Linked DNA regions of Caenorhabditis elegans. The protein of the gene in region 1 interacts with the protein of each later gene in a biochemical or structural test. Each region holds a gene or a part of one and is shown in the gene's direction. Other genes may lie near its edges.

Evidence for each region.
Region 2: the proteins of snet-1 (region 1) and npr-34 interact in a test that uses a peptide from one of them, tested with the Caenorhabditis elegans proteins (one large-scale study listed by BioGRID).

The regions. Positions count from the first base shown.
Region 1 is NC_003284.9:3,667,589-3,670,948, reverse strand, and holds snet-1 (Protein snet-1), read left to right. Parts: upstream 1-2,006; 5' UTR 2,007-2,077; coding exon 2,078-2,148; intron 2,149-2,199; coding exon 2,200-2,296; intron 2,297-2,343; coding exon 2,344-2,467; intron 2,468-2,515; coding exon 2,516-2,529; 3' UTR 2,530-2,849; downstream 2,850-3,360. Other genes in the region: BPTI/Kunitz inhibitor domain-containing protein C02F12.5, read left to right, coding at 222-327, 449-509. UniProt on the Caenorhabditis elegans protein: Negatively regulates chemotaxis and olfactory plasticity which is the change from positive chemotaxis to dispersal after prolonged exposure to an odorant. May be down-regulated in response to pheromone exposure, resulting in promotion of olfactory plasticity.
Region 2 is NC_003280.10:14,733,849-14,741,122, reverse strand, and holds npr-34 (G-protein coupled receptors family 1 profile domain-containing protein), read left to right. Parts: upstream 1-1,879; 5' UTR 1,880-1,885; coding exon 1,886-2,026; intron 2,027-2,860; coding exon 2,861-2,995; intron 2,996-3,040; coding exon 3,041-3,273; intron 3,274-3,320; coding exon 3,321-3,564; intron 3,565-3,622; coding exon 3,623-3,732; intron 3,733-3,782; coding exon 3,783-3,942; intron 3,943-4,794; coding exon 4,795-5,049; intron 5,050-5,315; coding exon 5,316-5,557; intron 5,558-5,601; coding exon 5,602-5,709; intron 5,710-5,752; coding exon 5,753-5,848; intron 5,849-6,495; coding exon 6,496-6,613; 3' UTR 6,614-6,718; downstream 6,719-7,274.

The DNA.
Region 1 (3,360 bases):
TTCAACGCTTTTTGAATATTTGGAAAATTTTAATTTTCCCAACTAGGGAAACATGTTGCACATTCCTATAGTAAAGTTAATTTTCCTTCCAGGAATAGGCACTTTAACGTCAATTTTGTACTAATAAATTAGAAAAGAAGTGTAAAAATAAATTTTCAAACGAGACAATTTCACGCTATAAATAAGTCTACCCATCGCTTTCCACTTGGTCGAACTTTCAGACGAATGGAACAAGGAGAATTCACCAAAGTGTTTGAAAGGTCAAGTTGTCCAATTCAAGCAATGGTTTGGAATGACGCCTCTTATTGGACGTAGTTGTTCGCATAAGTAAGTAGTACTTCGGAACAGGTGAAAAATATTTCAGATACCTAGCCTTTAAAATTAGCATTTCATTTGTGATTTGCACAAATATTTTAAATGACACTGTTCTGATCTTTGGATTTTTCAGTTTCTGTCCCGAGAAATCGACATGCGTACAGGGAAAATGGACTGCTTATTGTTGCCAATAATTCATCTTTCTGTAACCCTGTTCTTGTAATGTATATTTGCGATCGAATGAATTTCTCTGAAAAAGTATCTAGTCATAATTATTGGAAATGCGTCAAAGGGTCATCATAAGAAGACACCTTGCCTTAGGCTATTCAGACACTCTAGAAGCATCGGAAATTAAGTTAATACACAATCATAAAACCTAATCTGATTCCATTCTGACATGCACGCGCCAGCAACTTTTGACCGTAGTTTGAAAAAGAACATGCCGGAAGTTCTGGATGCGAATCTTCAAAAACTGCAATTTCCAATTAAAAATGCAGCCCTTGCAACATGTTTGACCTCGGGCACAATGCGTATTATCGCATTAGAGGCCCTCGTGTGCTTAATGAAAAAAAAAAGTTATATGAATTTAGTAGCGCCACTATTCTTCTCAAACTCTTACTCTAATTAATAAAAAGTAGCAGTTTTCCATGCACATACAAAAGTGATATACAAACCACAATATTATAAATGATGTGAACTTCTTGAAACAGAATTTCAAATTCTGTTTCTTTGCCTTTCAGATTTCATTATGAACATTGTGAATAATTTATTGGTATTTAGAAAGATCTTCGTTTGGAAAAGTAAACAATCGTAAAATCTATGGAACAAAATATAGTATGAATATCAAAAATATGAGCAGATTAATCAAATCCGTTAGAAATGTGTTATGAATTTTTCATTTACAGAGAAGAAGTTTAACTTTTGTGATTGTTATTGCATTCTGTTTTACCCAATCACAATAATAGGAACATTCAGTAAAACTAAGAAAGCTTTTGTCGAAAAACAAAGCAATTCGATTGAAAATCACTAAATCGCCATGATAGAGTCGATGCTTATTATTGATTGTTTTCACCGCCACATTTTCAAATAATATTTTGATAAAATTTTTGATACTTCTTGTACTTTAAACATTGCACAACTGTAAAACACCGACGCTAGGAAAATCGATTGCAGGCTCAGTCTCGATACGAATTTTTTTGTACTTCTTTTTTTTTGAAATTGGCAGTCAAAAAGTTGCAATTGCTGAGCTTTTGCCACTTTTTGAAAAACTGCAGCATTGTCGCATGTGCGGATCCTTACTATGTTGAAGTATTGTTAGTCAAAGCATGAGTACTATATAGTTTGAAATTAGTATTTTTTGATCCGCGACTTCCAAAAAAAGTAGCAAAAATTGAGATAATTTTTTTTCGAATTAACTTTTTTAGACACATGACACATTTCTATTTTTGTACAATTTCCGTGCACATATTACTTTTTTTAACTTTTCTCAAAACGAAACATGTCATCAGATTCCTGTTTCTCGAAAACAATATCACTTCAGTGCACTTGAATAATTTTTCCTCGCGTTGTTAAATCTAATCTCGCTGAGAAAGTATTGTTGAGGTCATTGGAGAAAATGCAGAAGAGGCGGAGCCCGAGCAAAATCCCACTGAAAATCTACGGAGTGAGGGGCGTGGCGTGAATAAAAAGTCAGTAGATAAAAGGAGCGATCGGCGAAAGAGACCTCACTCTTCATCACGCTCACTTTGACAACACTTGGAGAATGGCGCGCTTCACCCCACTTCTGATGATCCTTCTTGCTCTTGTTCCACTGTACTACTCACTGGATTGCAGGTTTGTGTAGATTTCAATTTAAAACAAACAAGTTTCCGTGTTTTCTTCTAGAAAATTCTCGTTTGCACCAGCTTGTCGTGGAATCATGCTCAAAAGATCCGGAGGTCATCCGATGATTGCGGAACAACAACCAATGATTGATAATGCGGTAATAATTTTTGTTGAGTTTTGCTACTTCAAATTTATTTTTTCTAGAAAGCCCGCGAAGTTCAAATGATGGAGCTCCTTATCCGAAATATCGAAGACGAAGCGTTGATTGCCAACTCAGACTGCGTCAGCATGTCCTGGCTCCGGGATCGTCTCGTCAACGCCAAGAACGGTTAGTTAATTGCTTCTTGGATTTAATAGGTATATTCACATCTTTCAGAGATGCCGCAATAGACTGAGACTTCTTTAACAGAATTCCTACCAATATATACAACACTACCAACAATATACCAACTGTGAGATCGAATAAGTACCAACAGCCGATACCAACGTGAGCACTTGTGACGATTACTAATTGAGGAGGATGAACGCCGTATTTCAGAAATTTTATCCAATCCGCGGCTAACACACAACAAGCAACACTTCATCTCTCTCTTTTTCACAACTTTTTTATCATAATTTTTTATAACTTTCTTCCACTTGTCGCCATATACCCTTCTCGATATCTTGGTTACTCTTACTCTCCTACTAATAAATAAATCTGTTGAATGAACTTTCAATTGCCTAAGAGACTTTGAGATGAAATTTGAAAAAATTTGGAATCAGAATCAAATCACAAATAAATATGCCCAGGAACGTTAAGAAAACGTTAATGGAAATTTGTGTGATGTCAAGGAGAGCAGCTGAAAATTTATAAATTTTCAGGTTCGTACAACATTTGGTTCTTACCAAGTGTACGATATGAGCTAAAGCAAGAGTGGTTTAAAATTTTCAGGCGGAATCTACGGAAAAGTTTTATATGGTAAGCAGAACACCTAAACATTATTCGACACTGCTAGAAAGTTCTGCAACAAAGTAAAGACTTCTGGAAACTTTTGGCTTTCACGAGAATGTGCTGGAATAGTCTGAAAGAGGACTAACAGTTCAATGTATTTTGAACATTTAAACTCATAATGCACTCATATGAACAAATTTTTCATCAAGAAAAAAATTTTTCGAAGAACTTGATCTAAATTTTTGAACATTTTTTTGAAAGTCGCATTTCAGAATTTATCCAATTAGCTT
Region 2 (7,274 bases), on another chromosome or scaffold:
CCATCAAAATGCCTCATATTTTTGAATTTTTGCTTCTTTTACCAAAGCACATATTTCTTCAAAGTTTGAAGCCTAAAAATAAACTTTTAAAAAATGTAAAAAAAAGTTCCACATCAATGAAGCTTCATCTTACTATTTCAATTTTTTTCTCAATTTTTTTTGAGCAGAACCTTTAGCTTTTACTTTTTGTTACTAGAAATTTTTCTTAAAAATTAAAAAAAATTTCCAGACAGTTTACACATATTCTAGAACACTTTTTTTTCCGAATATGCACAAAATTTCGAATAAAACTATAATAACAATTTAAACTTGATATTTGTTTCAGAAAACTAAAAAAATTGATTTATTTTCTGTTGTTTTCAAAAGGATTTTCGATGTTTGGTCATTATATGTCAGATTTTTTTTTCAATGACCACGGTTTTGTTTTGATAAATATGGAAATAAAATTGAAAATGTGGTGACGCAGATTCTAGGAATTTTATAGAGGTTATGCTGGAAGCCACTAGAATTTAAGTTATTGAATATCATATAGCCTGAAAAAAAACTTACAACAAATTTTCGAAAAATTTGTAATTATTTCTTTAAATAAAAAGCTGGTAATATAAGGAATTTAAATTTTAGATAGATTTTGAATAACATTTTTCGAGCCAAATTTTTTAAAAAACATTGTTGCTCAAACATTTGATTCAATTTTCAATTTCTCCCCAAATTGACTTAAAATTCAAATTCCCCACTTCACTAGCTTTAATTTGACCACCATCATGCCCTGGTTGGAGCCAATTTGAAATTTTCGGTTCTCGCCAAGCTGGGTACTGTGGCACCGGCTTCAGCTGTGTCGAGACTGCCAACATTCAAAATTAGCGAAACCTGAGCATTATGGGGGTCACTTTAAAGCTGAGAGTGACGAGAATTCAAATTTCCCAATAATATTTTGAAAACAAACGGAATAAAAATTTTTTGATGAAAGAAATTGTATTTTTATTTTTTCAGACATTGTCCTGAACCTGAAAAAGTGGCTCCGACTTAAAACACTGTAGGCGGTCAGAAATGTTTAAAAACTCAAACTGATAATTTTTTGAAAAACTTTTTTTTAATATGGTGATTCACCAGACCCTTGTCTTTCTGTTAAAAAATTTAACAAAAAAAATCCCGAGGCATCAAACTCTTGTCAACTTTCAGTCAAACATTTTACGTTTTGATAAAACCCTGACAGCTTTCAACAACATTTTCAACAAAAAATTCAAATTCCTCACAAGCAACTCCCTTTTCCATTCACCCATCAATTTATGCAAGCAACTTTTCTTCCATCCCAACCGTTGTCGAAAAAAAAACTTCCAACCAAATGAAATATACATCCACCGCACCGCGCATACACCTTACTAATTTATGCGGCGATTCTAATAAGATTTCCTGATCAATTTCTTGCCTCTCTACTTTCTCCTTTTCTTCCATCGAGCCCCAGAGCTCAACCAACTACTCACCTACACTTTGTGTGCTCCGCGAGCCAAATCCGTTTTTTGTTTCATTTCTCCTCACCCTTGATAATAAGACACGACGTCGCGATGGATATCAGTTGGAAAATACTGGCTACGGATTAGTTGAGGATTGGCGATGGGCACTCGCCACATATTTGATATTATCATGTTGTTATACACACACGGATAGAACTAATATTGATTGGTTTTTCAATTTTTTTTTAATTTTTGAAGTTGAATTTAGTAACTCAAGCATGGACATTATGTTTTGATAGGGTTAACTGGAGCGTCAAAATTTTCCAAGCCACTTTTTTTTTGCTATTTTCTTCCTTATGAATATTATTAACCTTTTTACTTAATAGTAGTATTACTAATAATTTTTATCAATATATGCCCACTTGCAGACGTCCATGTCCGAAGACGGAGATGATCCGTCATGCTACATGGTGCAGGAGACGACGTTCGATTACGAGTATGACGAAACGTTCGACTGGAGTAACATGACTGCGATGGACTGCAACTGCACACATCCGTTGCACAAGTATCTTGAGGTAAGTAATATGCTCCTCTTTATTTTTTCGGTAGAGTTCAAATTTCATTTTATTGTTTTTTTTTCTTTCAAATTTCATTCGATGTAAGGGTCAGAGGTGGACGACAATTGCCGTTAGGGAAATTTTTGGAAAATTCGGCAAACTGCCACTTCGGCAAACGGCAAACTGGGCAAACTGCCAATTCGGCAAACGGCAAACTCGGCAAACTGCCAATTCGGCAAACGGCAAACTCGGCAAACTGCAGGTTTGTCGATTTGCCGGGAGTTTTGATTTTCGGAAAATTGCCGATTTACCGGATATCAATTTCCGTTTATCCGGCGAATTCGGCACATCGCCAATTTGCCGATTTGCCGACTTACCGGAAGTTTTCAAATCCCACAATTTTCCGGTTTGCCGAAATTTCAATTCCGGCATTTTGCCGATTTGCCGGAAAAAATCGTTGCTTTGATGACTGCAAGTGTTGTGCTGACTGTGGTAAACTGGTAAAACTGGTAAAGCAAGGTAAGCCAAGTCTAGCAAAGTTATGACTATCCAACATTTTAGTAAATGTTGGTATAACCTTCAGGGTTGCGCGGCAATCGAATTTTCGGCAATTTCGGTAATTTCGCCAATTGCGTACCCCCGATAGACTCTTCACAAAAAGCGTTAGGTCACAGCTATCAATTCATGTAGAAAAATTTCTATAATGAGATTTGTTATATCATCTCAGCAGCTGCCTAATAGTCCATTTCTGAAAAGTTCAACATTTTTTGAAGCCCATTTCCCAACGACAAATCCCACCATGCCCTGATTATCAAACCTCCTAGTTCCACCCCCAACATAAATTTTTTATAGGTTTGCATTTCTCGCTGCACTGTACCCGATGACACTGTTTTCTTCTCAATGACCGACGAGGAGTTGTTCGAGATCGCTCTTCCCGGCTTCTTATATCTCACTGTTTTTCTAGTTGGAACTATTGGAAACTCTATGGTGAGTCCCCCCGTATGGATATTTTAAACATCATATTTCCTCTAGGTAATATTTGTTGTAAACCGATTCAAACGAATGCGCAACGTAACGAACATCTTTCTCGCCTCGCTCAGCACCGCCGACTTGTGCCTTATCTGGTTTTGTGTGCCTATAATGTTCATGAAGTATATGTCGCATACGTGGTCGATGGGCAGGTTTGCGTGCTATTCTGTGCACTACATTCAACAGTTTACATGCTTCTGCTCGGTGCTCACGATGACTATGATTAGTTTTGAGAGGTTAGAGAAAAGAGAGATTATGCTCCTTTAAAAATGGGTTTTTTGAGGTTTCTTGCAATAGCATATCCTATGCGAAATATCTGGTTTTCATCCATAGGACGAGCTAAAAAAGTAATCCTACTCATCTGGATGTCATCCGCGGTACTGGCCGTCCCAACCGCTGTTCGGATGGATTATGAGACCAATCTTTCATTGTCCGGGCAGAGGGTGCATTGGTGTCGAAGACGGTTTCCCGCGCAATTTTTAGGATATCCTAGGACATCGTTGAATAAAGCATATGCCATGTATCAGGTTGGGACAAACATTTAGAAATTCAAATTTAAATTTTTATGAATATTTCAATTTCCAGTTGTTGCTACTTATCATATTCCCGGTGCTCACAATGTCCATATGTTATGCTCGTGTATCTGCAATAGTGTACAAGTCGTCGAAAGATCGTGTAATACTTTCCCAAGCTATGTGAGTTATTACTTTCCATCTTCACCTTCACCAACTATTCACCATTTCAGGGTCGCATTTTCAAAGGCCGCCACTGACGCCGTTACCTTCTCCGGCTACTCTGCAATCCCCATGATTACAACTTCCCGGAACTTGAAAACCGCCAACACGACCATCAAGTCCTACAGTAATCACAGAAATAATCGCGTGGCAGAGGCGAATAAGAAACAGGTGCGTTGACATTACGCGACTTTAAATGACTTTTAAAAATTTAGCGTTTTAGTTCACAGTGAAACAGAGAAGTTGTATCTAGAATCATCGTTCAGTTAGTTTGTGTTATGTCCTAATAATCATATACTCGGCATTCAGAGGCAACTTCCTGCCACACTTTGGCAACTTATTTAGTGCCACTAAAATAAGTTGCCGAATTGCTGGCAGGAAGTTGCCGAGTTGTTGGCAGGAAGTTGCCGCGTAGTGGCAGCAAGTGGGAAAGAACGCTCCTCGGCATTCAGAGGCAACTTTCTGCCAAACTTTGCTTACTTGCAACTTCCCGCCAAACTTTTGCACATTCCTGCCAACATTTAGATGTTGCTGAGCGTTCTTTCCCACTTGCTGCCACTACGTGGCAACTTCCTGCCAACAACTCGGCAACTTCCTACCAGCAATTCGGCAACTTATTTTAGTGGCACTAAATAAGTTGCCAAAGTGTGGCAAGAAGTTGCCTCTGAATGCCGAGTAATTTATTATGACTAGTGAATTCAAGAATACCACTGAGCAATCCCTCAGTGGCTAGGGACTCGAACGTCTCTCATTTACAATCACCTCTTACGCAGGAGGGGAGGCCAACAGAGCAAGCGGGCAGAACATAGGCTACTATATCTGCAGACAGGCTGCTTAGATAAAACTATAGATAAGCCATATTGTGTACAAAGGACCAGTTGTTTGAAATTTGGGCAGAAAAACTCAATTCCGGTTGAGAGCGTTTTTTCAGTTTTCATTTCTAGACCCAATCTAGAATCAATGTTCTCTAAAAAAACTTATACGTGAAATAACTACTTATACTTAAAATTTTTGAACTTCCAGATAGTTCAAATGTTAATCTCCATCGTCTGCATGTACACGGTTTGCTGGCTCCCAACGATCGTCGACGAGCTTCTGACGTCCTTCGGGTACATTTGTCGAACATCAAATACGCAGACATTGAAGCATATGCGGATGGGATTTAATGCGCTGACCTATTGCCAATCATGCATTAATCCTATCCTGTATGCCTTCATTTCTCAGAATTTCCGGTCCACGTTCAAGACCGCCTATTCGAGAATGAAAAGTCGTCTTCAGGTGGGTGAAACTCTCTTTTTTTAAATTATTGTAGGAGCATTGTTTAAAAAATATATAACAAGGTTCAGGAGTCCATAGTGGTGATCCGTTGAAAGAGGGTATGAAGAGTTTTGCATGGAGTGGTTTGAAAATAGAATCTTTTTTCTGAAACCCTTTTGGTTTAAAAAATAAGAATGACAATATCATTTCTTTGTTTTTTTTTTGCTCTGTATTTAATTCTTTAATCTTTTAATCCTTCAATCCAAGTTCTAATAAATAACTTTCAGGGCGTGGAAGAAATGCGCTCTCGTATGGGATCGTGCTCTTCGGCGAGCATGATGTCGACCCGCAACCAGCACCGAATCTACGGGTCCAGCTTCAACACACTCACAGTGCCCGGTCGCTCCATGATCACTCCGAACATGTCACGCGACGTCTCACAGTTGTCATTGTGCAGGCCGACGTCGCAAATGTCGTTCTGCCGACCGAAGAGTCCAATGGCCGGAGACTCTCCGTCGACTTTCATGAGGTTCGTGAGATCTGTGGACGCTTCTTCAGCAAGTAATTTTTCAGACATCGTCCTAGATCGCCAACCGACGTGTCCCATGATTCCGGAAGACCACGTAGCCCCACGGATCTTTCGCAGTCGACAAAGCCTTCGCGACGATCCTCCTCTATAAGGTATCTTACTCTAAAGAATTAAATATTAATTGATTGCGTTTAGACCCCGTAGCCCAACATCGACATCTCAAATGTCTACCATAGTCCGATCGAGAAGTCCTACAGGCGCATCGGACACCTCTTCATTGTTCCCATCAAGGTATGCAAACTACAATACCGGCAAATTGGCAATTTGTCGGAATTGAAATTTTCGGCGAATCAGCAAACCGGCAAAAATTGATGTTCGTCAATCGGCAAATTGGCGATTTGCCGAAAATAAAAATTTCCGGCCAACCGAAAATTTTTTTTAGCATTTCGGCAAATTGCCAATTTGCAGTTTCTCGAGCATCAACTTGCCGGAAGTTTTTAGAGGGATTTTTTATAAGACGGTTTATAAGAAACATTTAAAACTGTGCCTTTTTGAATTTTTTCCCGTTTTCTTTAGATATTTTCATAGAATTTGTTACTTTTCAAAATAGATAAAGGAACATTCAAAGGATCACAGTTTTGCCGATTAAAATTGAAATTGTAAAATTTCCAAAAAAAAAGTGCAGACACAATTTGCTAAAAATTTCCGGCAATTGCCGTTTTTCCGGCAAATTCGTTAAATCAGCAATTTGCTGTTTTTTTTTGCCGGAAATTTTCAATTCCGGCAATTTACCTGTTTGCCGATTTGTCAGAAAAAAATCGTTTGCAGTCCACTCCTGTTGTATACCCTCTTTTTGAAATTTCAAAATTTATGTTATGCTCCTTTAAATCTATATTCCTAGAAGACCATCTGATTAACCTAACCTACATATATTTCAGAACAAGAAGTCCAACTCTCCAATCAAACACATCTGGTCAATCCATGGAACGAACCACGGACCGACTGAGTGTCCGTGACGCTGTCCGACCAAAAACACCGCCAGCAGTGGTTGTCTAGAGACTTTTCCTTTCGATTCTAAACTTTTTTCCTCTTATTTCTCTAATTCTCTTTATATCTGCAATTTGTTCTTCGATTCGAAATCTAAATCAAATATGTTTTAAACGATATCTTCACACACACACACACACAGAACACACTGTAAATAAATAAGTATGTATGAAAAAGCGCAAAAAATGAAAATCCAATAATGTTCTCCTCTCTCTCTCACTTTGCACTTTTCTGTCTGTGGGAAGCTTGCAGTGACAAAACAAAGAGAGTGGTGAGAGAGTGTGAAATGATAAGAGACACAGGATTTCCAATACGAAACTGTCTCATAACTTTGTGTCTGTGTGCCTCGTCCTACACGCCGAAGGGTCAGAGGCTTCTCTAGAGGTGTTTTTGGTTTTGATATTTTTCATGTTCTTGAGCTCTAAATGTTATTAGCGGGTCTCAGTGCGATTACCATCAGTTTTTTTGTCCCAAAAATTATTCAGTGATCTTCTCAGCCTCATTGAGGAAAATTCAAAAAACAATGAAATAGACTTGAGAAAAAATAGTAAATTTTATTGAAAATTTTTTAAAACCCTTTTAGCTTTTCAATTCTTTATTTTTTTTTGTTTTTTTCAAGTAATTTGTAGATTCTTATTGTAAATTATAACTAAATTTATATAAACTTCAA